Ovis aries: one gene and its partner. The protein of the gene in region 2 interacts with the protein of the main gene of each other region in a pairwise test. Links are inferred from orthologs where the notes say so. Each region holds a gene or a part of one and is shown on either strand. Other genes may lie near its edges. The genes, in order: SHFL and SSX2IP.

Region 1 (16,457 bases), on a different chromosome or scaffold from region 2:
TTCTCCTAAGACTTATCACTCTAAGACCTACCTACCGTTTTTTTCCAATCTGCCCTGTGAGGCCAGGGGTTTTGTTTGTGTTGGTCACAGCTGTGTCCCCATCTCCTGGCACACAATAGGTGCTCAAGGAATGCTTGTTGAGTGTGCGAATGAGGTAATGTGTGTGATGATGAAGCCCACAGGACACACGCTTGTGTGGCCACTAGGATGTGTGAGTTTAGACAAAGTGGATGTTGGTGCAGACAGGGCTGACATGTAGACCATTTTCTGAATGTGGGCAAATGTACATGGGAGGAACGTGTTTCCCCATCTGAGAGGCTGCAAGTGTGTGAACCCCAAGAATGAAGACAGTGGGGGCCTGGGTGTGGATCCTGCAGGGCAGAAGGTTAGTGGCCACAAGTATACGTCCTTGAGCGAAGACACCTATATGAGCTCACCTGTGGGAGTCAGGGAACACCTGTGGGGGAGCATGTGGGTGTTGCGGGGCCTGTGTGGCACCAAGCACTGATTTAGGAGCTGAGAACAGAGCAGTGAACAAAACCCAGACTCAGCCTCTGGGAGCTGCTATTTTGGTGGAGGAATTCAGAGCATAAACAATGGCAAATCAATGAGGCAAATGCAAAGTGACAAATGCTAAAATGACAAAGACCACAGGGACTTCCCAGGTGGTTCACTGGCTGAGATTCTACGCTCTCAGTGCAGGGGGCCTGGTTAAATCTGTGGTCAGGAAACTAGATCCCACATGCTGCAAGTAAGACCAGTGCAGCCAAATAAATAAATATTTAAAAAAAAAAAAAAAAGGAAAGAAGAAAGAAAAAGTCCGTATAGGGTGTGCCCAGGAGGGGCGACTTTAAATGGGGTTGTCGAGGAGGGCTTCTAAGGAGACAGCTGAGACCTGAATAAGGAGAGGGAGGCATGATAAATTCAGAGCAGCATATTCTAGGCTGAGAAAACAGCAAGTGCAAATGCCTTAAGGCTGAAGGATGCCTTGTGTGTTTGAGGAACAGCCAGGAAGCCAGGGTGGCTGGAGCAGAGTGAGTAGGGTGAACAGGAGGAGGTGAGGAAGGGAGGGGACTGGACAGAGCTTGTGGAACTTTCTGCGCTGCAGGAGGACTTGGGTTTTTCCTCTAAGTGGGGACATGACCTGACTTGGGTGTTCACAGGCATTCTCTGGCTGCTGTTGGAAAACCAGAACAGAACCTGAGGACAGAAGCCTGGAGACTGGGAGGTAGCTGCTGTCAGGAAAGCCAGATGGTGTCTTGAGCTTGGATCATGGGATGGGGTTAGCACGGGGTGGTGGGGGGTGATGTGCAGGAATTCAGGGTCTAAACACCAGAGCTGACAGGCCTGGCTGATGAGTTCCATCTGCCATGGAGAAAGAAACGCAGACAACCCTGGGGTTTGGGGCTGGGTATATGGGAAATGTGGTGTCCGCTACTAGACTGAGTTAGGGGGACTTTTCCCTCATCCCCTCTCCCATTTTCCCATGGCTTCTGCTTCAGCTTCCTCCAGGTCCTTTAACACATCAGGCATGATCCACCCTCAGGGCTTTTCAAGTTTCAGTTCCCCCTGCCAGGGACCTCTTCTCTCCTAGAAACCCCATGGTTTCCTCCCTCAGGTTTTTCTATAAAAATGTCACCTCCTCCAGGTCTTCCCTCCTCTCAAATCCCTGTCTTTTCACTGGTGTCTTTTTTCTTTTTTTTTTTTTTTTGGCCTCTTGTGGGATCTTAGCTCCTGGACCGACCAGGGACGGAATCCAAGTCCCGAACAGCGAAAGCGCAGTTAAACCACTGACGGCCAGGGTATTCCCCTCTTTTACTGCTATCTTTAATACAAACTAGGGCCGTCTAATACTCTATGAATTCTAACTTAATTTTGTTTCTTGCTCACCAGGGCAGGGATTTTGTGTGTGTGTGCTGCCCCCGACTGTATTCCCAAGCGCCTAGAACTGAGGCCAGTAAACACTAAGCTCAGTGAAGCCTTGCAGAGTGAATGCACGAGGCATATTGACCTGCAGGGCGCCTGGAACTCAGGGGTGAGGCCAGGGATGGGTTCTACTGCAGCATCTCCAACCTTGGGCCTGGGAAGGGGATGTATCCGGCGTGTGCGGCCCCTGATACACGCAGGTGTAGACATGTGCGTTCCCGTGTGGGAGAGGACAGGGTTTGGTCCGACTTGACAGTCGGGGGTCCAGCCCCCCTCCTTCCCGTTCATTCTCTGCCCGCAGGTCCGCCATGTCGGCACCCCGGCTGCTCACGTTGCAGCTGCTGCTCCTGCTGGGCGCGTGGTGGGCGCGCGCAGCCGCTCCGCGCTGCACCTACACCTTCGTGCTGCCCCCGCAGAAGTTCACAGGCGCCGTGTGCTGGAGCGGGCCAGCGGCCGCGCGCCCGACGCCGGAGGCCGTGAACGCCAGCGAGGTGGCGGCGCTGCGCGTGCGCGTGAGTCGCCACGAGGAATTGCTGCGCGAACTTCAGCGGCTGGCAACGGCCGACGGCGCCGTAGCTGGCGAAGTGCGTGCGCTGCGCAAGGAGAGCCGTGGTTTGAGCGCGCGCCTGGGCCAGCTGCGCGCGCAGCTGCAGCACGAGGCGGGCCCAGGGGCGGGGCCTAGTCCGGGGGCGGAGCCCGCCTCCGCGCTGGCGCTGCTCGGGGATCGCGTGCTGAACGCCTCGGCAGAGGCTCAGCGCGCTGCCGCCCGCTTCCACCAGCTGGACGTCAAGTTCCGCGAGCTGGCACAGCTAGTCAGCCAGCAGAGTGGCCTCATCGCCCGCCTGGAGCGCTTGTGCCCGGGGAGTGCGGGAGGGCAGCAGCAGGTAACTCCGAAACTATCACCCTCCCCAAATCTCAGCCACTTCTTGTGGGCGTTGTCAGTAAGGTGTGGCCTCTTGAAACCCCAGGATCTCTTATCCGCAGTTCTGAAGTACAAAAAGCTCCATAAACCGGATCCCTACCTCTCCACCAACAACTCATTTGGGTCAAAACGCTACTGGTAGCTACTTAAAGTCTTTACTTATCTACCTGATATGAATACTCAGTGGTGGTGCTTTAGTCGCTAAGTCGTGTCTGATTCTTGCGACCCCCACGGACTGTAGCCTGCCAGGCTCCTCTGTCCATGGGATTCTCCAGGCAAGAATACTGGAGTGGGTTGCCATTTCCTTCTTCAGGGTTTCTTCCTGACCCAGGAATTGAACCCAGCTCTCCTGCATTGCAGGCAGATTCCTGTAATTAGGTATATTACTAATATGTGCATGAAGACCTCATTGGGGATGCTAGGGAATATATGTAGACCCTGTGTTACTGTTTCTTGTTGCCCTTTAGTCTAAGTCGTGTCTGACTCTCTGCAGCCCCATGGACTGTAGCCTGCCAGGCTCCTCTGTCCATGCGGGTTCCCAGGCAAGAATATTGGAGTGGGTTGCCATTTCCTTCTCCAGTTATTGTTTCTAACTCCTGCTCTATTATTTAGAATTCTGGACTATGTCTGGCCTTGGGTTTTGAATAAGAGATCGTTGCTCTGACGGTAGCTACCTTACAGGTTTGGGAGGCTTCAGTAAGTTAATACTCAAGTGTTGCATTGCCTCATATTATCCCTGCTTTACAGAAAAGTTTGGAGGAACAGATTGGTTAAGCTGTGGACACCAGAGCAAGAGTTTAAGCCCAGCTCTGTCTCTTTTAAAATTTTTTGGCCACACCTTGAGGCATGGGGGATCTTAGTTCCCCGACCAGGGACTGAACCCCTCCCCTTGCAGTAGAAGCAGAGTCCCAACTGCTGGACCACCAGGAAGTCCAGCTCTGTCTCTTCTTGACTGCTGGAGTTAGGCTGGGGAAGATCAAGCCATGCTCCTGCTTGATCGCCTTCCCATCTGGGTGCTGGGAGATGTAAGAGCCCAGAGCCTCCAGGGCTAACGCATCTGACTTTCTTGGTTACCCCAGGTCCTGCCCCCACCCCTGGTACCTGTGGTTCCCGTCAGTTTGGTGGGTGGCACTGACGACAGCGGCAGGAGGCTAAACTCAGCCGCAGAACCCCAGAGAGATCAGACCCTGAGACAGCCAGGACCCCTGGCCTCTCCTCTGCCCTCAGGGCACCCTGCTGTTCCTCCTAAGCCAGCAGGTAAGTCAAGGGCATGGCTGTTGGGGGTGTGAGGAGCCAGGGGATTCCCAGTGCAGCATGAATAGAGGGAAATAGGAGTCAGGACCTTAATGTGAGATTCCCCTTGTGGTGAGGGGACTGGGGGGGAAATGATGCATTTTTATTCTGTTGATGGAACAGGGAGATATGGCTCTTAAGGAACAAAATTCTTACTATGGTGTGAAACTAGGAGAGGTACTCTTATTTTGATGAGAGGGCAGCAGATTTAAGAATGCTACTTTGGTGAGAATTTGAGGAAGTTCAGAGAGCCATGTTCAGGACCTCTCTTCTGGTGAAACCATAGGATTTAAGAATCCCAGCCTCCACATTTGCTCTACTGAGAGAAGAGTGACTTAGAGTCTAATTTAGGTAAGAAAAAGGGTTTGGGGGCTTTTATCCTGGAGAGGGAATAAGAGAAGCAGTACTTCTGGTGAGGGGACCAGTGAGAATCAAGACTCTTACTCCAGTAAGGGGTTGACTGGTGTAGCTTGTGCCTCTCCCATATCCCTGTGCCCATAGGCCCATGGCGGGATTGTGCAGAGGCCCGCCAGGCAGGCCATGGACAGAGTGGAGTGTATGAGTTACGAGTGGGCCGGCACGTGGTGTCAGCATGGTGTGAGCAACAGCTGGAGGGCGGAGGCTGGACTGTGATTCAGAGGCGGCAAGATGGCTCGGTCAACTTCTTCACTACCTGGCAGCACTACAAGGTGGGCACAGGTGGGTGGGGCAGGGCTGGGCGGGGAAGGGGCCCAGCGCCTACCTTTCTGACTTTCTTGCCCTGCCAGGTGGGCTTCGGGGAGCCTGATGGGGAATACTGGCTGGGCCTTGAACCTGTGCATCAGCTCACCAGCCGTGGGGACCATGAGCTACTGGTGCTCCTTGAAGACTGGGGAGGCCGTGGGGCACGCGCCCACTATGATGGTTTTTCCCTGGAGCCTGAGAGTGACCACTACCGCCTGCGGCTTGGCCAGTACCATGGTGATGCTGGAGATTCTCTTTCCTGGCATAATGACAAGCCTTTCAGCACCGTGGATAGAGACCGAGACTCCTATTCTGGTAAAGGGCTCTTATTTTGGTGGTGTGTGGGGGCAGGATAGAAGACTCTTAGTGAGGAAATGAAAGAGGGTGGGGTAAGACTTTCCTCTGGTAGGGATCAGGGCAAACAAGAGAATGGAGGACAGGACTTTTATTCTGGTGAGGGAGTCTACGTTCATTCTCTAATGAGTTAATAAGTCAGGGCCTCAGCCTTTGTGAAAGGAGGTGGGGGAAAGGGGGAGCTGTGAGAGCTAGGACTTTTAACTATTGTAGAAAGAAAGTAGAGAAGGTTGTTTTTTCTGGTAAAGGAATGAGAGGAAAAGCTCCTTGTTTGCAGAAAGGACGGAGGAAAATGTGACTTGTACTTTGGTAAGGGGATAAGGAAGAAACTAAGGCTATTACTTTGAAGTAGGGGGACAGAGTATGCCTGGCAAAAGCCTTGTGTTAGTGAGGTGCTGGTAGAGGCTTTTATTCTGGTGAGAAGAATAAAATAAGGCTTTTTTCCCCCTCTCCCCTCAGGTAACTGTGCCCTGTACCAGCGGGGAGGCTGGTGGTACCATGCCTGTGCCCACTCCAACCTCAATGGTGTGTGGCATCGTGGTGGCCACTACCGTAGCCGCTACCAGGATGGGGTCTACTGGGCCGAGTTTCGTGGTGGGGCTTACTCTCTCAAGAAGGCTGCCATGCTGATTAGGCCCCTGAGGCTGTGACCCTCTGTCCATCTGTCCCTCAGGTCCCAGGGGATGTGTGTCAGCAGGAGCCCAAGTTGTCCTGGCCACCCCTCCTTTGTGGCTCCATGCAGACCATGCCCCACAGACCTCCTCCCATTGTGGATCTGCAGGGCTTCCCCAGGGCTTTGTAGACAGTGCCCAGGAATCCCCCTGCCAATATCCTGGACCCAGACGGCTCCCCAAGGGCATTGAGATCTCAGTTTGAGCTCATATTTTATAACAACACAAAATAGCCACAGACCGTGTCTGGTTTTCATCTGCATCTGGCAGGGGTCACTCCCCGTGCCCGCCCTCCTCCTCGTCCTCCTCCTCTTCCTCCTCCTCCTTCAGGTCCTCCAGAATGAGGTTGTCCAGGTCTTCCAGGAGGCCCCCCTGGCTCAGGCAGGTAGCCACAGTGGAGCCACTGCTGATGTGGAGGTTGCTGGGGTGCAGGACTTTGGGCAGGTGGTTCTGCTTTCGGCTCTTGGGGTGCGCACAGGACGTCCCAGGCACATGGGGCTCTGGGGAGGGAGAGGTTCTGAGCCCTCTCCTGGGGCTGGAGGCCACGGGGTGCTTTGGGGGAGGGGAGGGGCTGCGGCCACAGGCTCTAGGGCAGAAGTGGAAGTCACAGACGTTGAAGCCACAGGAGACCCACGGTCATGGGCATCACCTGAGACTACAGAGGACCACACAGGAGCCAAGAACACAGAGAGACTGCAGGGGCTGAGTCCACAGGACCCTGGGATGTGGGTTGTCAGGGTGAAACCACAAAGCCTCATGGGTGAGAACATGGAGGGTGGCTGATGCCACGGGAGGTGAGTGTGAGGAGGGACCCCCCCTCCAGGAGAGACCTGGAGGCAAGGAGGTGGAGGACGGTGGAAGATGTGGAAGGAGGGGCCGATGTGGTAAGAGATGAAATGGCCTCTAGAACTAGGACCTAAGGAGTTAGGTGCAAGAAGCAAGCAGACACCTTGGTAGGTAAAGCCCCAGAGGTGGAAATCCCAGGAGTCCAGGCCACATAGACTGGAACAGGGGGAGGCCATGCGGACGCAGCAGGCGCTCACCTCTCCGATTGTAGCAGTCCTCAGCGGAGCAGGAGTGGGTGTGGGTACTGCGGCGATCCGGGTCGCGATCCCAGCGCGGAGGGAGGATCCGTGTCGGATACACAGGGAAGCCGCACCCGTAGCAGGGGGACCGGGACCCCATCTGTGCCCAGCCCCTGGGGGCGGGCAGGGCCGTGAGGGTCCAAAGGCCAGCTGGGCCAGGATGGGGCCAGGGCAGGGAGGGGCGGGGCGGGGCTGGGGCGGGGCCGAGGGTGAGGGGGTGGGGTCAGCACCCTCTCGGGAAGTTGTGCCCTCACCGGAAGTTGTGTCGACATTTCGGGCAGTGGAATTCAGCCACGCCCCACATCTTGTCACTGGGCACGGGATCATAGCGCTTCCGGCATTTCCTGCATCTGGACACCTGGGGGTACAGAAGAGCGGAGCAGATGGGCACCGATAGCCTGATGGTGGTCACGTTGGGATTTACACCATCGAAATTGGCGAACACTGTAAATCTGGGGGCACTTCGTTCCTGGTTGGTAGGCGTTTATCAGAAGCACACCACTGGTCAGGGGGTTCAGAAGCCAGATTTGGGGTTCAGGCTTGATTTCTGTGGTAGTGGTCAAACGCCATAGTCAAGAGTTCAAGGGTAAGTTGAGCTTCTCCAGTTGAATGTTGAAAGTCCAGCTCAGTAGGTCAGCGTTGGGGCTGAGATTGGGGTTGATCTCTGAGGCTGCAGGTGTCCGGGGTTGGGGTCTCAGAGGCTGATGTTCTTAGGTCAGTTGGTTTGGACACAGAATGGGGGTTGGGAGCAGAGCCGGGACAGAACCAAGGTCAGGGATTGGGTTATCACCTCTTTCCGCTGGGGCACGCGGCGCCACCAGACATGGTCACAGGAGGAGCAGGCGAACTGCCGGTCCACGGCAGGGATGAGGTCTTCCTGGGCACGCTGGAACATGCGTAGATTGTCTTCTGTCAGTGGCAGGAGGGATGTCGCCACCGCCTGCAGAATGGGGTGGGCGGGGCCAAGAGGGCGGTCAGTCCTCTTCTCTTCCAAACCCCTATCCTGTCCCTCCTTCTCACGTATGGATACCCCCAGGGGTGTGCACACCGCTCCACCTCCCCATCCCACACCCTGGACTCACCTGGATGTCCTGGTCCTGCTTCATGTCCTCTGGGGGGTCCTGGGTGGAAACATCAGGGGTAGAAACTGGGGAGGTGGCTCATGCCTCTTTTCTGGGGGCAGGGCTTCTGGATGGGGAGGCAGGGTTCTGGCCCCATATGAGTAAGGTGTCCCCAACTCAAGAGGAGTTAATTGAGCAGTTTCCACTTCCTGAGGGCAAGGGTGTGTGACCTCAGTTGTCCTCATAGCAACCCTGAGAGGTGGGCACACCTGTGATCCTCATTGCTCAGATGGGGAAACTGAGGCCCAGAGCTCTGAGAGGGCTTGCCTGAGATTACCCTGAGTGAGTGTGGGCAACAGGCCTGGGCCCCATGCTCCCTTCATGCTGGCAAATGCCACACACTTGCTGGCATTGTGACAGGTCACCTGTTTGAGGCTATGCTGCTTTAGGCTAAGTGCTTGAGCTCTGGATTCAGAGAGCCACAGGTTGGAATCCTGGCCTCATCACTTCCAGCTGTGGGGTCGTGGCCAAGCCACTCTCCCTAATGAAGGACATCTAGGAGTCCAGGTTCTGACTCTAGGTGACCTGGGTTCAAATCCCAGTCACCACCTGCATTCAGCATGAGCCTGGTGAGTGACTTCATCACCCTGTGTCTCAGTTTCCTCATCTGTCAAGTGGATATGATAAATAATAGGACTTGTCTCACAGGACCTGTGGCAATAAGTCAACAGAATTCCTGGAGTCCTGTTGCAGGGAAAGTGCTCAATCAATGATACTCTTTGCTAGTTTTATTATACTCATTATATGTATAACTGTAAATATATAAATGTTACAAGTATAAAACATACTTTATTATACTCTTTAACAGCTCTGTGCTGGGCCCTTTCAGACAGGCAAACCAGTGCACCAGCTACCAAGGCCATCTAAGGGGCAAAGTGGCCATACAAAGGCTCTCATTCATTCATTGCTTTAGTCATTCATTTACATGGGCTTCCCTGCCCCTCTTTCCTCCCCTATCTCTTACTCGTCCCAACCTGTCTGCAAGTTCCTCTGCTCAGGTCACCCTCTCTTCCAGGAAGATCTCCAACCCCTCCCCTTCCCAGGGATCACTCCTCCCTAGGCTTGAAGAATGTGGTACCACCTCCTCCAGGAAGCCTTCCCTGACCTCTTTGGCTCCTCTGTAATGATGATAATCCGGATTCTTTTCACTGCCTAGTTTCTTGTCTCTCTCCATTTCATACAATCAGCATGTAATGAGCACCTATGGTTTGCAGGCTCCTTGGTCAGATCCATAACTGAGAGGTAAGTGAATGAGGCTAGACCATGAGTTGTGGATGGACAGTGCACAGAAAGAGCTCTGCCAGGGATGAGCCTGACCCTTCCCTTCTTCCTTCCCTTACCACGTGTTTTGAGGGGAGGGGGCAGTTTACCTGGGTGTCCAGATCATTACTCAGTTCCTGTCCATCCTTCTGCTTTACCCCTGGTGGGGAGAGTAAGTGTAAGTGAAGGCCCCTTGAAAGGTTTTGTGGGAATTTCAGGGCCCCCAGAACCCCGATCCAGACCGCCCCCCAAAGAGATGATCTCATCGCCTCTTCCAGCCCCCAGCACAGACCACACCCCCTCCCTGCTCCCCAGCTTAACTCTCACCAGGCAGGACCCCCACCTGCTCACCATACACGATGGAGCGCCCCACTCCAGTGTGGTCGCTGCCAAATTTCCTCATCAGAGTCCCTGCCTTCTTGGAGGATACCTTTCCATGAAACTTCTCCCGGAGGCGCCGGACGCTTTTCTCCAGCTGGGGTAGGGGACCGGTGGGGGAAGGAAAAGCGCAATTGCCCTTCCTCCATCCCTAGGCTTCCTTTTTTCACGGCCCGAACTTGACCCCGGGTTTTGGCCTTCGCACCCCCCCCCCCCATCCCTCTACTGCATTTCCTGGAAAAAGCCAAAGTCCCCACAGAGTACTGGGGGAGGGAGCGGACTAGGGCGAGCGTCCCAGGCTAAGGGATGAGGCCGGCCAGATGACCCCTGGCCTCTGACCCTTGACCCAGCAGCCCCCGCTTTCCCTCGAGGAGGCCGCATTTTGCTCCGGGGCATGTGGCGGTCACTCTCCTTTCCGAGGGAGACGAGTGCCAGCCTTGGGGGGAAGGTCTGGGCTTGGATGGAGTCCCCAGCAACTGCGAAGCCCGCTCCGTGCCCCTAGCTCCTCCTCAGCATCTCTCGCGGGCCACCGGCCCAGTTGTAGCCATCTCCTACCTCCACACCTTCTTGAGACATGGTGGCGGCGTAGGTCCCCGCGAGGGTCCGCACTGCGCGCTCGGCGGCCCCCTACCTGGGCGCGCCCGTCGGTCCGGCCGCGCAGGGCAGGGGGCGGGGCCTCCAGGCCGGCTCCGCCCTTCCTTTCCTGCGCTCCGTTTCGCTTTCGTTTGGGAACGGGGGGGTGGACGGGGAGGGCTGGCTCCGCCCTGGCTCCGCCTCTGCTCTTGCGCCCCAAACCCAGGCGGGCGCCCCGGATCTGCACCCTGCGGCGGAGCGCGCAGAACTCGGGCGGGGGAAGCGGCGCGGCCTCTGCAGTCGGTCACATGTCCCCACGCTGCGCGGGGTCCGCGTCTTCACGTCCCTCGTGGGGGCGGGGCCGCATCTGAAGGCCGCGGCGAGTCTCCGTGCCCCCGCCTGTTCGCGCTCCCCTGTTCATCGCTCGGTCCCCTCCCTCCACCCGGAATCAGGCGCTAATGAGGATCTAGACCCCTGTCTCGCTCTGAGTGTCTTATCCGGCTATGTCTTCTCTCTGAACCTCAGTTTACTTCGCTGTAAAGTGGGGATGATGATAGTGGCTACATCCTGGGGACGGGTGTGTGTGCTCGCGCGCGCTCATGCCTGTGCGCGCGCGCGCGCAGGTGCAGGATTCGAGATCCCCAGGTCGAGTATTTAGTAGCGCCTGCCATGCTGTAGACATTCAACTAGTCACTGGGCCACCTACTATGTGCAAGATATTAAGAAGCAGGCAGTTGTGGTGGGGAGAAGATGCTCGTTAAAAATACGGATTCCTGGTTCCTCACAGTCTTGCAGAATCGGTCTGTCTAGGGGTTCCAGGGAATTTGCGCTGAAAAACGGAAGATTGAGAACCCCGAGGGATCAGGACGATTTTAACCCAGCATGGGGGGTGGGGGGTGGGCGAGGGGGCTGGAAGAGCCCTGCCTGGCGGCATCAGAAATGGTTTCTTTAAAAAAAGAAAAAAATGGCTTCTTGGAGGAGTCCGGAAGACCGAGGTCTCAGCAGTCAGAAGATCGGAGTGCGGGATGGAACAGCTTTGGGTGCAAAGACCCCAGAAAAAAGTGACTAGCGCTTTAAGCCAGGGCTTCTCAACCTCAACGCTATTGGCATTTAGGGCTGGGTGATTCTGGAGGCCTGCCCTGTGCATTGTAGGATATTTAGCAGCATCCCTGGCTTCAATCCGCTAGATGCCTGTGGCACTCTTGCCCCAGTCGTGGTAACTGAAAATGTCTCCAGACGTTGCCAAATGTTCCCTGGGGGTGGCAAAATTGTGTTAGGATAAATGACACCCCTCAAATTGTTTAACCTCCATCAGTAAAGATGTGGAAGCTCAATTCCTCGAAGAGTGTTTGTTTATGAATTATATACAAATACAGTATGAATTATATACAAATACTCAGATTCTGTGGTGGTGGTTTAGTCGCTAATTCGTGTCCGACTCTTGCGACCCCATGGACTGCCAGGCTCCTCTGTCCATGAGATTTTCCAGGCAAGAATACTGGAGTGGGTTGCCATTTCCTTCTCCATGGGATCTTCCCGACCCAGAAATCGAACCCAGGTCTCCTGCACTGCGGGCAGATTCTTTCCCAACTGAGCTACTAGAGAAAGATCAGATTCTGTAGATCATTTTATAATAATGTATTTGTTACATAATGATATTCGTTGGGCTTCCCAGGTGGCGCTAGTAGTAAAGAATTTGCCTGCCAATGCAGGAGACTCCAGAGACGGGGGTTCAATTCCTGGGTGGGGAAGATCCCCAATGATTAAAAATATAAATGTTCTAATGTTTTCTACTCGAACTCCAAAGTTTTGTTTGTGGAGTCTAGGCATTCCTCCCTGGAGCCTACTCTATTAACGAGTGTAAACAGTTCATGGTTCTTTGTGGCTGAGTGGTGGGGTTTCAGGCAGGAATGAGGGGCTGTAGGCGTCACAGAGCAGTGGTCCCTAACCTCTGGGATCTGATGCCTGATGATTTGAGGTGGAGCTGATGCAATAATAATCGAAATAGATCGCACACTAAATGTAATGCACTCGAATCATCCCGAAACCATCCCCCCACCCCCCACGCCGTCTGTGGAAAAACTGTCTTCCAGGAAAATGGTTTCTGGTGCAGAAAAGGTTGAAGACTGCTGAGAGGACCTAGGATTTTATCCCAGAGAAGCGGGGAGGCATGGAGGGGCTCTCTCCTTATAGTTCCCAACTACTACTTACCCAGTGGAGGGGGAGGTCACAGCTATGTCCCATCCCTGGTCACGGTGAGCACAGAACAGGCAGGGAACAGGTGGGAATCTGATCAAGCCCCAACACAATTCATGTCTGTTAGCTTCTCATCCTAATGATCACCATAGTGAGAGCTTGCTCTGTGCCAGGCACTGTTCCATGCACCATGGACACAGCATCACAGAAAACAAAGATCCCTGCCCTACAGAGCTAGCATTCTAGTGGGGGAGATAGAAGAAACAAATATGTGATGGGTAGGCAGTTTCCCTGGTGGCTCAGACAGTAAAGAATCTGCCCGCAATGCGGGAGACCTGGGTTCGATCCCTGGGTTCGATCCCTGGGTCAGGAAGATCCCCTGGAGAAGGGAATGGCTACCACTCCAGTATTCTGGCCTGGAGAATCCCATGGACAGAGGAGCCTGGTGGGCTACACTCCGTGGAGTTGTAGTCAGACACAACTGAGTGACTAACACTCTTACAACTTTCAGGAGATAATATGTGCCAGGATGAAAAATAAACTACGACAGGGGGATGGGTAAAGAGGGTTTAGGGAAGGCTGTGAGAAGTAACATCTGAGTGGAAACCTGAAGGATGCAGAGGAAGAGGGTTCCAGGAAGAATGGTAACTGGGGACTCTTCTTACCAGGTGTTGTAGTTCTCTGTTGCTGTGTAACAAATTATCTCCCCAAATGTAATGGCTTAAGGGCTTCCCAGGTGGCGCTAGTGGTAAAGAACCTGCCTGCCAGTGCAGGAGATGTGGGTTCGATCCCTGGGTTACGAAGATCCCCTGGAAGAGGGCATGGCAACCCACTCCAGTATTCCTGCCTGGAGAATCCTCATGGACTGACATGGGGTGATGTGGGGTGACATGGGCTGACATGGGGTGACAGAGATGGACATGACTGAAGTGACAGTACGCACACACGTAGCGACTTAAAACAAGAAACACTTATTAGCTCACACAATTTTTGTGGGTCAGGAACCCAAGGACGGCTTTAGTAGGCTTTCTGGCTCAGGGTCTCCATAAGATTGTAGTCGACATGTTGACTGGGGCTGCGTTCCTTTGAAGGTTTGACTGGGGCTGAAGGCTCTTGTTTCCAAGGAGGCTCACTCACACGTGACTGGCAGGTGAGTGCTGGTTGTTGGCGGGATGCCTCAGTTCCGCACTACCTAGGTTGACTTGAGTTTGATATGCCCAACCTGGCAGCTGGCCGCGCCAGGGCAGGCAACACAAGAGAAGGAAAGCCAGGTGGAAGTTGTATCGTTTCGTGACCTAGCCTTGAAAGTCCCAGAGCATCCCTTCAGCCGCCACATCCTGTGTGGTAAAATTGAGTTGCCAGATCCAGCCTGTGTTTAGGAAGAGGAGGATAAAGACCCTGCCCTCTCTCCCCTCCTCCCTCCCCATCTCCTACTGGAGTCTCTCGCTTCCAGCGCCAGAAGGCAAGGAAGGAAAGGGAGCCGGTCAGGCAGTCAGCCTGTCAGGGCACAGAGCAGGAGGAGAGGGTGAGAGTCACTCTGGAGGGACAGAGATACAGCCTGTGAGTATTGAATTTGGGCATTTATAGGTGAACAGAGGGCTTCCCTGGTGGCTTGGCAATTTCCGCCTGCCAGTGCAGAAGACACAGTTTGGTCCCCGAGCTGGGAAGATGCCCTGGAGAAGCGAATGGCACCCCACTCCAGTATTCGTGCCTGGGAAATCCCATGGGCAGAGCAGCCTGGCGGGCAACTGTCCGTAGGGTCGCAAAAGTCTCTGACATGACTTAGCGACTAAACACGATGAACAGAAAAACAAAGATTCCCAGCGATCACATGGAGGCGCTGCCTACATCAAAGTTTAGTTTGAGCTCTGTAACCATCTTGGTCTGTCTGGACACATATAGATAGCTTTCTTGTCCCATGATGTGGACACGAATGCATTTTATTCTTTGCCTTTAGGGAAAGGTGTGAAGAGGGGGGGGATGGATGGGGTGATAACAGTGATAAGAAGTGTAACCTCTGACATTTTAGTAATTGAGTCAAAGACGGAACCCATTTGACCTATCCGTTCATTTATTGGACAGACATGGATCAAACACCTCCTGTCTGGCAGGTATGGTGCTGGGCACCATTTCTATCCTTCTGGAGTCATGGTCTTAATCTGAAAGAGAAACAAGAAGCAGATGATAGCAGAAGGAATTATTTATATTTATGGTATGTACCAAAAAGAGAAATTGAGAGATCCATAAGAAAGGATAACACTTGGGAACCAGATGTGTGTAGGGTGGTCAGGGAGGGCCTCATGGATGAGATGTCTCTCGAACTGAAGTTTTTATTTTTTTGCCGCATTTGTGGCTTGCGGGATCTTAGTTCCTTTACAGGGATGGAACCTGGGGCCATGACAGTGAAAGCTATGAGTCCTAACCGCTGGAGGCCAGGGAAGCCCCACTGAAATGAAGTCTTGACACTTTCTGAAACACTGTGTCAAGGGTTTTGAACTGTGTATCTCATTTGATCCAGATAGAAATCATATAAAGGGGGTAATATTATTACAAAAGGGAAAACAAGAACCTCCTAGGGGTGGAGGGTTCTCTCCAAAGGATAAATAGGGAATAGGAACTACCTAGGGAAAACATGGAAACAGTGGCAAACCTTACTTCTTGGGCTCCAAAATCACTGAAGATGGTGACTGCAGCCATGAAATTAAAATTCACTCTTTGGAAGAAAAGCTGTGAGAAAGCTAGACAGTATATTAAAAAGCAGAGATATCACTTTGCTGACAAAGGTCTGTCCAGTCAAAGCTATGCCTTTTCCAGTGGTCATGTATGGATGTGAGAGTTGGACAATAAAGAAAGCTGAGTGCTGAAGAATTGATGCTTTTGAACTGTGGTGCTGGAGAAGACTCTTGAGAGTCCCTTGGGCAGAAAGGAGACCAAATCAGTCAACCCTAAAGGAAATCAACCCTGAATACTCACTGGAAGGACTGATGCTGAAGCTGAAGCTTCAATACTTTGGCCACCTGATGTGAAAAGCCAATTCACTGGAAAAGACCCTGATGTTGGGAAAGATTGAAGGCAGGGGGAGAAGGGGGCAACAGGGGATGGTTGGATGGCATCACCGAGTCAATGGACATTAGTTTGAGCAAACTGTGGGAGATGGTGAAGGACAGGGAGGCCTGGGGTGCTGCAGCCCATGGGGTCACAAGGAGTCAGACACGACTGAGCAACTGAATAACAACAACAAGGTGACGAGGTGCAGGTAGAGAGAGAAGCATGTGCAAAGGTCCTGAGGTGGGAGGGGGCTGGGTATATTGCAGGAATCTATAGGAGACGTCAGCTGGGGTTTAGTGAGCAGGGTGGAGAGTGAACGGAGGGGAAGATCACACCCAAATCTTGACCTTCAGTTGGACCTTCAGGGGCGTATGCTGGGTGAAAAGTATGTTTAGTTGTGGAGGAAATGGACATGATTGGAGGATGTGTGTGCTTTTCAAAACCTAGTCAATTTCTCCCTCAGCTTCATTAATTAGACCACAGTGAGCAGCATGCAGCATCTTAGTTCCCTGACCAGGGGTTGAACCTGTGCCCCCTGCAGTGGAAACACAGAGTCTTAACTGCTGGTTAAGTCCCTCCCTCAGTTTAACCAGATGAAGAAATTTGGGGATGCCTAGAACTGGGGATGTTGGGGTATGGGAAATCTCCATATTGTTGGTTGGAAAGAGTGTCCTTTGGTAGAATCATTGGAGAGAGCAACTCTGCAATACCTACTAAAGCATGATGTGCTATTTTTTTAAAATAACAAAGTGTTTTTATTAATTAACTGTCAAGCATGCCTCTCCAAACATCCCCCTACTTTTTATGGGTATATCCTCTTTAACCAGGGTTTCCCAGGTGGTGTGGGCTTCCCTGGTGGCTCAGAGGTTAAAGCATCTGCCTGGAATGCTGGAGACCCGGGTTCGAT
Region 2 (15,903 bases):
AGTCCTGTGGCCACTGCTGAGTTTTCCACATTTGCTAGCATATTGAGTGCAGCACTTTCACAGCACCATCCTTCAGGATTTGAAATAGCTTAACTGGAATTCCATCACCTCCACTAGCTTTTAGTGATGCTTTCTAAGGCCCACTTGACTTCACATTCCTGGATGTCTGGCTCTAGGTGAGTGATCACACCATCGTGATTATCTTGGTTGTGAAGATCGCTTTTTTACAGTTCTTCTGTGTATTCTTGCCACCTCTTCTTAGTATCTTCTGCTTCTGTTAGGTCCATACCATTTATGTCCTTTATCAAGCCCATCTTTGCATGAAATATTCCCTTGGTGTCTCTAATTTTCTTGAAGTGTAGTTAGCCAATATTTTATTGTAACTCTAAGTGAAGCATAACCTTTGAAAATTGTGAACCAATAAGTTATATACCTGAAACACATAATATTGTCCATCAACTATACCTCAACAAAATTTTTAATAAAAATTAAAAAAATAAAAATAGGTTAATATTCTTTTTCACAGCGTTGTTGAATCAACATAAAATACATGTTATGTACACTATGTTTTAGTAAATGTGTAAAACTACCATTTAAACTTTTAAAAACTTCATATTATGGAAAGGTTAGAGACTTAAAATATATCCCTTCCATAAATTAAGGCTATTTGAATCTTTAATAATTAATCAGCAATAAATGCTGTGCACAGAGAAGTGTGTTTTGCCGATTTTAAAAAAAATAATTTACGTGCGGGGTCTTGGTTGCTGAGCAGGCTTTTCTCTAGTTGTAGAGGGCAGGGGCTACCTTCTAGCTGCGGTGTGTGGGCTTCTGTTCGTCGTGGCTTCTTGTTGTGGAGCATGGCCTCTAAGGCACATGGCCTCAGTAGTTGCAGTTTCTTGACACTACAGCACAGGCTCCATAGTTGTGATGCACGGGCTTAGTTCCCCCATGGCGTGTGAGACCTTCCTGGATGAGGGATCAAACCCTCCAGCATGTCTGCTGCATTGGCAGGCAGATTCTTCACCACGGAACCACCAGGGAAGTAAGTCCCTGGCTGCTTATTTTTTAAATAAGTTAACTCACCAAACGTATTACGCAGCCAAGTAAGCTCTCAGTGCTCACCAAATAGCTACATTTCCTGTGTCCTCCAGTCTGGTTTGTTGTTAGGCTGGGGCTGTAGGCCTAGGTTCTGGATGAAGTAATGTGTAGAAAGCATGTCTCTTTCAGATCTGGTTCTTAACAGCCAACATCACCAACCGGTCTGCTTTTTCCCAGATGTGACAACACTGTGGGCCATATGAGCCAGATGGCATGAAGGAGGCTGACTGCCCGGCCGCACTGGTCATTTCACAAGCAAGAATTCAGTCTTTGTGCACAGCCACACCAGTTTGGTATTTTTCACTGTAGAATGGCTTACTCTATTCCAATGCCCTGTGTGAGGAATCAAACTACATCAGGTTGGAAATCAACCCAAAAAGGTGCCTATCACTATTGAGAAAGAAGTTTCAGGATTCTGACCGGAAATTTAGTCCATTCATGCCAATGAAGCAATGTGTTTCATTATACAAGTATAAATACTAGGTTCATTAGTATTTCACACCTTTCATTAACAAATATCCCATGCTCACTATGCATTAAGCATCTTACAAGGTACAAGTATTTCTGGATGTAAAATATGAGTATGGAAGGATCTCTACCAGGATCTTTATATATTACTGGCATTACAGTACTTTCTGAGACCTCTGAAATGAGGTATTTATAAATGTTAAAAAAAAAACCAAAACACTCAAGTGAAATATTTTTATATAAATCAAATAATTTAATTAGTTCCATTTCACTTTAATCTACAACCAACCTGAAAAAAATGCATCCTATTTAGAGAAATGACCGAGATAATCTACCTCATTATCCTTATCTACATGGCCCAAATCTTTGCAAATTCTTTCTCTATTAGATAATAATACATGTTCTTGTGGGCAGTAATTCTTAATGCTGCTTTGCAGGTATTTTGATTGTAGAAAACAAAACCCAACACCCAACAAAAACAAAATAATATATTAGTTACATAGTTCTTCCCATAGGAAATAACGCAAAGACTCTAACTAGAAGCTTGCCACAGCATTGTTATGAGATGGATATACAGTCCTGGAATAGAACAATCAGTCCACGGTTATCACCAGACTGAACATCTGAAAAGCATTTCCCATCGTTTACAATTTAGGTTTTTATAGCTGGTCTTTCACTCAACCCAGAGATTCTCAGTGGCAGAAAGCATTAGTTGTCTTTCTCTCCCTAGTGACTGACTAGAAGGTATTAATAAGGCCTGACACAGCAGGTACTTTATTTGCTTATGAAAAGATTTTTTAAAATTAAGGATAAACATAGGGAAAAAATATATTTAGTACACTCCCATGACTCACACGTATATTTTAAATACAATCTAGAAATAAGAACATGATTTACATCAGGCAACAAGGCATTCAAGACTTTTAGAACAGCGAATCACACAGGGGCTCGCTAGCTCACAGTCTGCAAAACCTCTCCCTGCATCCCAGGTGTTTTCAAATGCTCCATTAGGGTGAGTCAAGACTGGATTCTAGGGTGCTTTCCTTCTCACCATGCACCGTGAAATATGTTTTCCCAGAAAACCTGTTACATCACAAGCCTAAGAACAAGCCTGGTCAGCAAAGGTAGGAAAAATGGAACTTTTAAGTAACAATAGTATTTTAATTATACTATGAAGGAAACAATTTGCTGTGGACTGGTCTATGAATCTAAACACTTGATGCATTGCTTCTATAAGAAAATACCTATTTATTATGTTTAATTTTTATCTTAATTTTCTGGTAGGATTATTCTTCTATTAAGTTTCTCATCATATCCTGAAGATATAAAAATTTAAGAGTAGGAAATAAAATTTTTCTCTATTTCCTTTGCCACTTTTATGCTTCAAAAATTCAAAATGGGCATGTCAGGCAAAAACAAATAAGGCACAAAATATTTCAGATTTGCATCCTGATAAACAAGAAGATTGCCGGGAGAAATATCAATAACCTCAGATATGCAGATGATACCACCCTTATGGCAGAAAGTAAAGAGGAACTAAAAAGCCTCTTGATGAAAGTGAAAGAGGAGAGTGAAAATGTTGGCTTAATGCTCAACATTCAGAAAACGAAGATCATGGCATCTGGTCCCATCACTTCATGGGAAATAGATGGGGAAACAATGTCAGACTTTATTTTTGGGGGGGCTCCAAAATCACTGCAGATGCTGACTGCAGCCATGAAATTAAAAGATGCTTACTCCTTGGAAGAAAAGTTATGACCAACCTAGATAGCATATTGAAAAGCAGAGACATTACTTTGCCAACTAAGGTCCGTCTAGTCAAGGCTATGGTTTTTCCAGTGGTCATGAATGGATGTGAGAGTTGGACTGGGAAGAGAGCTGAGCGCTGAAGAATTGATGCTTTTGAACTGTGGTGTTGGAGAAGACTCTTGAAAGTCCCTTGGACTGCAAGGAGATCCAACCAGTCCATTCTAAAGGAGATCAGCCCTGGGTATTCCTTGGAAGGAATGATGCTAAAGCTGAAACTCTAGTACTTTGGCCACCTCATGCGAAAAGTTGACTCATTGGAAAAGACTCTGATGCTGGAAGGGACTTGGGGGCAAGAGGAAATGGGGACGACAGAGGATGAGATGGCTGGATGGCATCACCAACTCAATGGACATGAGTTTGAGTGAACTCCAGGAGTTGGTGATAGACAGGGAGGCCTGGCATGCTGCAATTCACGGCGTCGCAAAGAGTCGGACACGACTGAGCGACTGAACTGAACTGAACTGAAACAAGAAGACATTTAAGATGGTCAGGAGGGCTTCCAAGCAAAAGTGAACATGGTGCTCTCATGCACCATCATAGCTAAATGTAAGACTGCCACATGGCTCAACTACTAGAACACAGCAAATACCTACAGAAGGAAGGGAAACAAACTCTAGTAGGAGTTTTATATGTGGAGTCAGGAGTTATCCAGCATGGAAACCTTTTTAACATTTTGGGAAGCTTTGCGAAACTAGGAACCATTGTTGGAGCTGAAACGTAACTTACACTGTTAAGTAAAACACATGACTTCTGGCAGATCTATGCACACTTTTTTCAAAAGTATGATGACCCTGGCTTTCATTTTCTTTCTTTCACACCTGAGATTTCAAAGTAAGTCTCAAGGGAATTTTGCTTTTCAATAAGAGAATTCAACCAACTCCAAAATGGAAAGAAAAAACATGCTGCTTTGTAGAAATTCATCACTATGAAATGCAACATTCCCTAAAATAAGATCTAATTTAAAAACTAGAGCAAGTTTCTAGCCAAGTATATCATGGAAACCCCTGAAAAAAACACCCAATTCTTGACAAATATATCACTATTTAGAAAATTTGCTTTTCTTTGATATCATTATTGCTCAGTTCAGTTCAGTCGCTCAGTCACGTCCGACTCTTTGCAAGTAGCCAAAGAATTATACCACCAGCTGTTTCTTCCTTTGGAATATGGTACTATTTCTGAAATTCTGCATAATTTCTACTATTTTAAATGGTAAAGAAAGGGCATGCACCAAGCTGAATGTAGTGAGTGACTAATTTGCTTTTACTCAAGAGCCAGCTTTTTGAGACTGTAACTGCAGTACTTTCACTAATGTCTTATAAGATACTCAATGATATGCTATTAGCCCTGAAAAAGTTTTCTATACAGTGAGTGGGTGACAAAAGTACTATTTAACACGACAAATTTCAATGGGACAGCCGCAACCAGGTGAGTGAATATAAATGGTTAAAACTACTAGAAAATGGGAAGGCAGATGGGCCTCAACTACAATACCTGCAGCAAGGACTGGGTATGTGTAGGTTTCTACATGCAGAGATAAATAAGGGTTAGGTACTTAAAGCTTTCTGATGAAAACCCTGGAAAGGGCTTGGGCCCACACTTACATTATTCTTACTATAAATAATAACAACAACAACAACCATGAAGAAACATGCAATTAGTCCAGAAAATAAAACAAGTCTGTCCAGAGTATCATAGTATCTGGACTATAAAGTCTGATAATTTATGTTGTCAGATTCCCTTATTACTAAATATCTCATTGAAAAATTATTAAATAATTATTGGCAACTATACAAAGCCTTTGCTGGTACAGGCGTTACAGTATGGGTACCCATCTGGTAAAGAAAATATCACCATCCAAACATCTTAAATATCAGTATCTTCTAACATCGAAGTATCCTAAGCCAATACTCTTAAATTGTTTTATCCAAAGGTACTCTAATCATCTTACCTCTATTACCCTAAAATCAACAGTCCTTTGAAAATTGTAATATCCTTCATATTAAAAAAATCCAATGCTATAGAAATCTCAAAAATGGAATGTTAGTAATATTAATTATCTAAAGAACTTGGCTTCATGGAATAGCTTTTGAGTATTTATTGCTCAGATGGGTTCAAAAACTTCTTAAACATAATGCTGCAATGGCTTTCATACATCTGTAACAGAATATCACTAATAAAAATTTACCGGCATGAAATACTATAATTATGGATGTGTAAAATCTTTAAATCTTAAAGCCTCTTAACATAATCATGTATATCTATGTACAAAACATACATAAACTTCACTTTATTTAAAACATATGAAAGAGGGAATTTCAAATCACATTAAACATAATAAATATAGAACTTGCTTTGTTAAAAATCTACAGTATACATTCAAGGAAAGGCTAAACTTCCAATGCCAACTATGTATGAGACAAAATTAAACATTTACAATAATCAGTTTCCTAAAAGTGCTATTTTTAAGATCTATAATAGGAAACTCATTCTAGTGCTTTGTTTTCATCCAAACATGTATACATTCCTTTATTCACAGAACCAGATGCTTCTGTTACTAAAAATACATATCCAAAGTTTTTATATCCTTTTAAATAGATTTAACATTTTAGCTCTTTGGGGAGGAACAGGGAAGTCCAAACAAACAACACAGACCACCTTAAATTATTAAGAGATCACTGACTTTATAACATGCCCTGTTTCAACTCAGATGTGAAATCTGATGACCATGTTAATGAAAAAAAAAACTCCCTGTTCATATATCTAAGGTAAGTCATCCTTCTCTACATGAGAATTTGTGTAGGCCAAGGAGCATCCACTATAGCAACCTTCCTGTGACCCAGGCCTTGACGACATGCTCCACTTCTGATTTGTACATTCTCTTCCAACCTGATTTGGCTTAGTTTCTTCAGGGGTGATATTCAGTACATTGATTGAACTGCTGGGGAAAGAAAGGCAGATCTTAATTATTATCTCCTCCCTTCATACCTTAGATATGCCTGAATGTCTAAAATCTGATTTCTCCCTTGCCCCATGCTAAACAAAAATTTTGAGGACACACTGGTCAAGAACATACAAGTGCTTTAACATGGTCTAGTCTAATTTATCACTTTGATCTATCCATCTATTTATTTATCTGTTCAGTCTACTCTGAAGGATGCTACCCAACCAGAGCCTAAGGCAGACAGATAACATGTGAATTTTGAAAGCTAATGTCTCCCATACCACAATGTCCTAGTCTTTTTATGCTTTCTTTCTTCACTCATTGATTTGTTCATGCACGCTTGCATCCTCCATCCATTCAGCCATGCAGATATTTAATGAGGGCCTACAAAGTAGTGAAGAGTCTAGGCCCGAACAGATGGTTTAGGTTCACATCCCAGCTGGACACTTAGTGCATCATTTCTGGCAAGTTAAGCCCTGCTGTTCTTCAGCTTCCTCAGCTGTAAAGTGGAAATAATATTAGAACCCATAACTCATAGGCTTGAGGTGGAAACTAAATGAGTTAACACACACTAAGCACGTGTGATGATGCTCAATTAACTTTAAGTGTCAGACAACAACAATTTAAGTGTCTGAACACTGATACAGACCCCTAACTTCAGAGATACTGTCTGAGGTATGCTCTGCAACCAGCCTCAAAGCAAGGAAATTTAGTTAAATGACTACTCGCAAATCATGGGCTGAGCCAATGAACAATACATTTTTATCAACTAAATAGCTTAATTTTTTCCATAAAACTTATTTTCCCTAAATATTCATTTTTTGATGTGACTTTGGTTAATAACTCAACCTTATAATGTGGCAATCCTTAAAAAAATTAAGGTGCTCCAATTCTAAAACTCTAAACCAAAAACACTGACAATTTTATACTTATTTGCTTTAAAAAAAAAAAAAGGCACTTGCTTATAAATCAGATTCAGAATCCCTGCCATCTCAGATGAGATTAGATCAATGGTGAACTAAGTTTCCTACATAACTTAGTACGTGAGTTACTTTGCCGTTACGTTGCTGTAACGTGAGTTACAGCTGATATGTAACATTCCACTCTACAGTGAAGGAGGAATGAGGATGTGCTATAGAAATTAGGCATAAATACTCCTAATTATTTTGCCATAATCTTATTACAAACCCAGATCCAAAGTGCTTGAAGATCAGGAATTCAAATACACCAAATAATTAAAAATTTCAAGGCCGATGTCAAGCTGCACAGCTTCTTGCTTGATAACTAGTCACGTGACTCTTATTTTATCCTCAGAGGCCAGCAACTGGGAATAGCTTAACGAAATTTTCTTAAGCTCCAAAATTCTGTTTCTATGCCACTGATACTGTTCAGTGTAGCTCTTGGGATACAAGAAACAGAAAAGCATTTTTATAATCCATTTATGCTTACATATATTTTTATATGCTGCTACTGAAGGTTTACAAAGGGCCAAGTACTGTTTTAAGTGCTTTACATATACTGGCACTGCATCTCACACAGTACCCTTAATGTAGGTACTAAATGTTGGCCTTTTCATTAAACACAGTCTTCAAGGAGTTATAACTAAAAATAATTATGTAAAAAAGTAAAAATTCTAAATATATAAATATAATTGAGGCAACTAGGCTACATTCTCCTTTAGGTACAGAATGCATTATAAGCATACTTCATTTTATTGCATTTCAACTTACTGTACACTTTGCAGATATTGTATTTTTTACAAACTGAGGGTTTATGGCAATCTTGGGTTGTTTCCTAGTGATGAAGTATTTTTTAATTATGGTAGGCACACTGTTCTCTAAATACACTGCTACTGCACACTCAATCGATAACAATACAGTGCAAACACAACTTTTACATGCACTGGGAAGCCGGCAAGTTCAAGTAGCACGCTTTGTTGTGATATTCCCTTTTGTCTCAGTGGTCTGGAGCTGAGTCTGCAACGTCTCTGAGGGCTGCCTGCATTTGTGAATTGCGACTAGAATGTGTATCTAAATCTATACGCAGAGTTTTGATTGGTCAATTTGGGGGTTTCAATAACATTCTACACATATACTCTGAGCTTACATTATCTTTTGATTGTAAATTAAACAAACTTTACCTTCCCACATTTAACCCATCAGTCAACCCACTGGCTCTAACTGCAGAATACAGCCTAAATCTAAGCATAGCCCTATCTTCAGGTTATGACCCCAGAGTCCAGATGACTACGTCTCTCATGTCCACTCCACTGACGTCTTCTAACTGGGTCTCCTGGCTTATATTACTGGCTTCTACAATCTGTTTATCACATAATAAAATGAAGTCATCTTTTTAGAACTTAGGTTTTTAAAAAATCATTCTCTCACTTATAAGGTCTCCAATTGTCTTCCAATGCCTTAGAACAATCCTACTTACAAGTACAGACTAACATAGTTTACAAATGAAATCTTAAGTGCATCATGGGGGGGAGGTGTCAAGCACAGCAGGGTTGTATACAAACATATTAGTCATGAGTTGACAACTAACGAACCTGGGTGATGGGTACACAGGGACCCTGACCGTATTCTCTTTGTATCTGTATATATTTGAACTGTTACATAAAATATTACCTCTCACCTTCACACCACTTGGTTTTACTCGCACAAACACACCTGTGTCCTACTTCAGGGTCCCTACACTTGCCTGGAGGGCTCATCCCCCAGTCTTTTTTTGCCCCTCCATATTTAATATTTAGAGCCCGAATCCTTTTAAAAGTCAACTATAAAATAGAACGCCTTGTCCTTTTCTAAAACTTCACATTTTTGTTTAAAAATTCTTAAATTTTGTTTCAAAAATGGACAATTATTGGTTCAAGGGCTATTTGGCCTCTTCAGCACTGGGCTCCATGCCAGTCTGTCACTGGACAGGCCAAGTGTACGCCAGCCCCAGCTCCTGCGGTTCTGAGATGCCTGGCCAGGGCCAAGAGCCACTATCTCCTACTTTAACGGCGAGGAACGAGATCATGCCACACGTTGCGACACAGCCCTTTGCTCTTTTCTGTTCTTCTCTACCTCCCTAGGAATGTTCCATCTGCTTAGTTCAAAATTAATCTTGAAATAGGCTCTAAGGTAGTGCTGACATTATACCTTAGAAAATGATTTAACAACTTAAGACCAAGGAAAATACTGAAATGCAGCAGTTAAAAGCAGTTATCTGGCTTTCCTGGGGGGTGTGGAGCAACTCTGCCTGTCCTGTCACCCTTGGACACAGATCCTCGTCACCAGTCAAAGGAAGGTAGCTTTTCTCAGGTCTTTGTCCTTCCACATCCATAACATGGGCATACCACATGAGATGCTTAAAGAGGTACTCTACAGAAACTATCAATGCAATATCCTTCTATTCAATACAATTAAAATATTAAGTAACTCCTGAGATAAGACTGTACTTTAAGTTGTATTTTACCCGTGAAATAAAAAGAATCACATATGTATATGACTCCGCACCCAGAAGACAGCGACCAGAGCTACCTTGCTCACCACTGTATTCCCCACGTTAATAGGCGTCTCTATGTAATGGGTACCCAATAAATATGTGTACAATGAATGAGTCAATCTACTCAGTTCCTCTTCAGAGCCTTTACTAGTCCTCATCCTAGACAGGCCAGCTCTTCCTTCACAATGCCTCTCTAGCACTGTAACAAGTGTGTGAGGAGATCACCTACAGGCCAGTACCTATGTTCAGATGCACAAGAACGTGTCTGGCAAAAGTCTGAAGTAGAAGGAGAAGCAGGAAGAGACTTAGTCAGTTTAGACGTGCAAACTGGAGACCCGCTAGGCACACCGTGAGGCTTCTTTTGCCGTGACCTCGAGTGTAATGTAGGGGTGTCCCGATCAGAACCTATTAAAAAAAAGAAGAAAAAGAAGGAAGAAAAAAAGGCAGTACATATGAGGAAGCATTAGTAATAAATACACTGAAGGTAATCAACTAGGAGCCTAGACTAGGTTCCTTTGCAGCTCTAAGGGAGGTGTGAGAACAATCTGAATATCTTCTGTACGTATGAGTGTAGTCTAGCTAATCTGGTGAACTTTGCTACATTCAGTCCACAAACATTTAGGAGGATCTAGTTTAAAAAATATTTCTAGATTGTGGATTTTCAAAACTTGACATTACACTCACAAAAGTTGTCTTCGGTATGCAAAATCCTCCTGTCATTTCTATTTTGGTTACAGTAAATTAAAATATCAAAGTTGACTTTTATTCCAATTAGAGAGTTCTTACTGGTGACTGCTAAAGTTATATATTAATAACCTACAGTACTTTATTTACATGTATTTTCAGATTAAAAAGCTTACGAAGTACTCACTTCCTGAGAAGGCACTGAAAAGTTTCACATTTTCTGAGTTCTGGTGGTCAAAGGTAGTCATATTTAAAAACTGTTGCTTTAACCAACTGGCTCTTTCTTCTTCAAATGCCTTTCTCTGCCGTAACAAGCAAACCAAAGAAACAATGATCAGTATTCCAGCATTCACATAGTTGCCGATTCGCACGATTTCTGTAGGCACTTGTGCTTGCTCTCTGACTGTCTCTATATATTAAGTCAGAGGAATTAACCCTAGAAAACCAAAATTAAACCTCATTTAAGAAAGCTGTTAGAAATAAAAATTCACCTGTTTCTCCTAACAAGTCAACTACTATTTTCACATCCATTCTGAATAAATTCAAGAGTATAACACAGAAAAATAAGCACATTAGCATAACTTTAAACATACAGAATATCAGCATAACTTTTGAACATACAAAACATGGTAACTATAAGATTACAAACAACAGAAAAATACCCCATTGTAAACTAATCACTTGGGGAAGAAAAAGGCTTCACTGAGCACCGCTCTCTTCCTCAAGCCACGGCCCAGGGCCTAGCAGCCCTCATCACTTAGGACCACAAGAGGGCGTATGTGAAACCTCCCCCTTCTGAAGGCGCAGGGGATGGATCCTAAATTCTCCCTCACCTCTCAGGTCTCCCTTTCAGGGAGATTCGTATGCAAAGTAACAAGAGTATCTCTTGGACTGGCACGGAGAGAGGTGAGGGATATGAGCTCAGAAACAGAGGTGATCCCGTAAGATGGGAGAAAATGCTGGCACAAACTGTCTGTTTCCTGAGGAAGACAATAGCTATAGATAACACAGAATTTCGTAATGAAGGAGGAAGGCGTCGGCTACTTAAGATAACATACAGTCTTTCATTCATAAACATTAATACAAAATCATGGATCACCAGACATTTGAAGAAAAGTAATAGCATAGAAGAAAAATGCCAGGAGAAATAAAGAGAACTGGCCATGGGTAAAGCTCAAGGCAAGTTTTTTTAAGATAACACAAATTATCAGACAGACTTAAAGACATCTGTAAAATATAATATGAGACACAAAACAAAAAATACACTATAAAACTTAAAAGATAAATTGTGAAGTAAAAACTCAGTGGATGAAGTGAAAAATCAAACTGACCTTGCTGAATACCAGGTTGGTGCTGCACAAGATAAAAGAGAAAATATTCCCAAATTCGGAACATAAAGTCAATCTATAGATGTAGTCAGAAGGCCAAATATTTGTCTAGCAGAAGTTCCAGAATGCAAGAGAAGTCAGAGAAGGAAAAAATACAGAATTGAAGAAAATATCCCTGAACTGAAGAAATAGAGCATCTTCAGGTTAAAAGGAGCTACCCAGACCTACCCTGGTAAAATTTCACAACTCTTAATTTAAGAACATAAAATTGCAAAAGCTTCCACAGAGGGGGAAAAACAGCACAGCTGTCTAAAATTAACCCAGGGTATTTTATAACCAGGCTGCTCATGAGCAAAATCAAACAATGGAAGAATCAGAATAACTCACAGTTTTGAAAGGAAAAGTTGGAAAACAATTCTACATCCAGGCAAACCAATCAAGTATGAATATATTTTTGGATAGTCCAGAATTCAGAATATTTGTCACTCACACACACTTGTGAAAAAATTACTCAAGAAGGTAATACAACAGATTGAAAAAGGAACCCAAGAAAGAGAATACGAGATAGAAGCTGAACCTGATTCAGAAATCATAAAGCAAGCACCCACAAAAAAGTCACAGAATTCACTACAGATTCTCTTCTGCGTGACAGTTTTAACAACAAAGAATGCTATATAAAAGTGTCCAAACGTATTACTCGGCCATAGAATGAATATTCATATAATCACAGGGTTATCAATGTTCTTTCTGGTTTCCATTCTTAAATCGCAATCCTGGACAAAGTACTTACACTTGAATTTGTATTAAAAATCAGAGTATAAATGTGGTAACACTTGACAGTGAAAAATAGCATCACTGACAAAAACTGAGCAGTCGAGGGGTAAAAGCACTGCAACAAGGGTAACTACAAGGACGCCCTCACCTTCCATTTCAGGGATAAACCCATCCTGTCTAACGCTGAGCAAACATGGAATGGAAGCATTAAACAAATTTACTCCGAGTAAAAAAATCAACCAGGAGAAACAGTTCTTTAAAAATTAGCTTAAAAAAGTAACAATATTATGGAGAAATCATATGTATATGAGAAATAGTGTAGATGGGAGGTATGGTAAGGGCACTAAACTCCTTGTGTTTCATAGTGGGGAGTCAATAGGCTGACTGTAAGAAAAAAGGCTGAATTTTATTCAAGCTAAAATAGTTTTTCCCAGAAGAATCATAAACCTTCAATAGTGGTACCTCTGAGGAATGAAACTGAGAAGAAGGAAGGATACTTTCACACCTTGTAGCTTTTTGGAATGAGTTTCTTTTTTTAAATCATGTCCAGACATTACTTCTCTAGGTTTGGATAGGGAAATAGTGCATGTAACACACTACTAAATAAAAAGGCGAGCTGCTGAAGCGCATACACACAGTTCATCCCTGGGTAAGGCAATGGTACTGTACTCTCCCTTCCCTTAAAAAAAACCCAAGACACTCTCTCGGCTGAACTCTCTCCTGACTTTACACCTACTAACAGCGGAGAGATGACAGATGCCCAGAAGAAATCTCCTTCGTGAAGCAAAACTCTTAACAGCAAGCAGAAAGCTACCCAGAAGGCATGACAAAGGCCTAGTTTTTTCAATATAAAATTTTTTTCAATTCCCAAATCTGAAGGCAAAATGATACACCTCTATTACAGCTTCCGTTTCAAGCTATTTTGTGAAATCACTGGTAAAATACTTGAGGAAATGTACAGCAAAAAAACAAAAAATAAGAACTTCAATGCATTCTAGTGAGGCTTCTCCAGGACCTTCAAACATTCTACAAGGAAGGCCAATTGCTTAAAATACCTCCAATCCTAGGCGAATAGCTGCTTCTGTAAAGCTTCGTCTTTCCTTCTCGAAATTCTTTTTCTGCTCTTTAAAAAGGGACCACTCTTCTTTGAGGCGTTCCTTTTCTTCCAACAAGTAACAGTCTCGTAGCAGTGAAGTGGTGTCATCATCACAAGCAGTAGCGAGCTGCTGCTATTAAATTTTAACACATAGTAAGTTCCAGAGGGTCCCTGCAACACTCCAACAAGTTGAAATGAAAGCAAGCAAAAAAAGCAGGCCTAACTTCAGGGCAAGGAGAGAGATGATGAAGAATCAGAAAGTCAATGGAAATGAGAAGCCTCATTTCCCAAATGCTTCTACTCTAAAAGGCAAAGCATCGACTAATGATGCTTTGTGGTCTATCTGCTAGCAAGCAGAGAACTTAGACTGTAAAACATATCTTACGAAATAAAGGAGCAAAAATCTAGTAAGATTCAATAAAATCCTGACCCTTCACAGGGGAGAACAGCTTTAAAAGGTGTCCTGCGTTTACCTGTAAAAGTTGCTGCTGAGTTTTAATCATCTCTTTACACTGCTGAATTTCCAACTCGAGTTTTTCAGTTTCTTGTTCATGGTCTTGTCGTGAGATTACATCTTCGTCATTAAAACCTTCTAAGTGTACCTTTGAAACTAATACAAAACCAATAATTTGACATAAACCTTATAGTCTCCATTTTAGTTTATGGCATTTGGGGACATATATTTAAAAATCAAGAAATAAATTTAAAAATCAGAAAGGTTTTCCCTTTCTGGAATCTCAACGGTTTTCTAAAAGGTAGTTATTTCTTTTGTCCTTTAAAAACTCCACTAGCTATAATAAAATAGAATAAAAGGTATATTATTTAACACTAAAATATTTTTTTAAGTAAGCAACTGTAATGAGTTCGTGGTAACTATAAAATTCACGCTATTTCTGGACTAAATGATATCCTTACTTACAAAATTCTATTTCCAACATTTAACCTGTAATTTGTATTCATTCAAGATGATGTCCTAATTAGAAATGCAAACCTATGTTCCCAGAAAAATTAACATTCATAAACTATACTCTTTTGACACTTCCTCAAAGATCAGTGCAAGATTACAAATCTTGCTGTTATTAAATCTGACAAATATCAGGTCCAAAAATACTTGCTATTTACTAATAGACAGTGATAAATGAAATCAAAAAAACCTCATGTAAACTAATTTTGATACTTTAATTGTTCTGACTTCACTTTTTAAGACAATTAGCACTGAGATTGTCATTTCTGACCATTTAGAATAAATTTTCTTTAAGTAAAATGCATTTACTTAACAGACGTCTTAATTTTCTTGATTTAAAAACATGCAAGCTTGAACAAATATAAAATGTTAAGGATATACTCATCAACATCAATCTACTAGGTATCTATAATGACAGGAACTGGTTATCTAAAAATAATACACTGTTGAGTGAAAAAAGAACAGTATAGAAAAAAACAAGTAATATTCAACTTATGGCTTGTAGACATTTAAAATAAGTATTTTGCAAATGCAGAAAGGTCTAGAAAGGTATGCACCATAGGGAACAGAGACCTGACTGTTCTCTTGGGTTAGCCAAAAAGTTTATTTGGATTCTTCAATAAGATCTTATGGACAAACCTGAATGAAGTTTTTGGCCAACCCAATACCTTATATACTTCCTGATATTTTGAATCAAATGTCTATTATTTTGAAAATAATTTAAAAATGAATTATTTGCAAATTAAGAATATGCAAGTATCTATGAATAATAAGAAAAAGGTATATATTTATACTATATTATGATTAATATTTCCTGATTGCCAAGATATAGTAGAAGACCCAGTTTACTTTATTCAACTGTCTTCTGCACTTGGAATGGATGGACAATAAGATGTCCTTTTTTGAGAGATTCTGAGAGCAAAGCATATTTTCTCAAACCGCACATCTGGAAGTAGGCAGAATTTTGCTTTTCAAATTGCCAAGCTAAGCTAAGGACTTTAGTCTGAGCCCGTACATGACTTTCCAAGTCGGCTTCCTGAGTGTCACAGCTTACTCTATCTGCATTCAGGCGGTACTTACCTTGGTTATCAAGTTTTTCTACGTGACTTTTCAAAATTCTCCACTGTTTTCTGATGCTGTTGGTAAGCTGCTCTCTCACAGTCTCACAGGAAAGGTCCCATATACTCTCTCTACTCAACTCCCCAGCATCCTCTTCAACATCAGAGATAACCTACAAGTGGCCAGAGAT

What was found.
Region 1: the proteins of SSX2IP (region 2) and SHFL interact in binary tests that used the Homo sapiens proteins (3 or more experiments, as listed by UniProt). The two-hybrid records come from large-scale screens. The link is inferred for Ovis aries from reciprocal best matches to the Homo sapiens genes SSX2IP and SHFL.

What each region holds. Positions count from the first base shown.
Region 1 is NC_056058.1:12,498,946-12,515,402, reverse strand, and holds SHFL (shiftless antiviral inhibitor of ribosomal frameshifting protein), read right to left. Parts: upstream 10,398-16,457; 5' UTR 10,310-10,397; coding exon 10,289-10,309; intron 9,831-10,288; coding exon 9,707-9,830; intron 9,516-9,706; coding exon 9,466-9,515; intron 8,096-9,465; coding exon 8,057-8,095; intron 7,915-8,056; coding exon 7,765-7,914; intron 7,333-7,764; coding exon 7,229-7,332; intron 7,088-7,228; coding exon 6,933-7,087; intron 6,476-6,932; coding exon of another isoform or gene 6,390-6,475; coding exon 6,163-6,389; 3' UTR 6,086-6,162; downstream 1-6,085. Other genes in the region: ANGPTL6 (angiopoietin-related protein 6), read left to right, coding at 2,235-2,810, 3,928-4,105, 4,643-4,830, 4,909-5,179, 5,678-5,868.
Region 2 is NC_056054.1:61,671,076-61,686,978, forward strand, and holds the end of SSX2IP (afadin- and alpha-actinin-binding protein), read right to left. Parts: intron 15,886-15,903; coding exon 15,735-15,885; intron 14,301-15,734; coding exon 14,164-14,300; intron 13,824-14,163; coding exon 13,650-13,823; intron 10,795-13,649; coding exon 10,680-10,794; intron 10,214-10,679; coding exon 10,048-10,213; intron 6,816-10,047; coding exon of another isoform or gene 6,812-6,815; exon of another isoform or gene 6,314-6,811; coding exon 6,136-6,313; 3' UTR 5,456-6,135; downstream 1-5,455. UniProt on the Homo sapiens protein: Belongs to an adhesion system, which plays a role in the organization of homotypic, interneuronal and heterotypic cell-cell adherens junctions (AJs).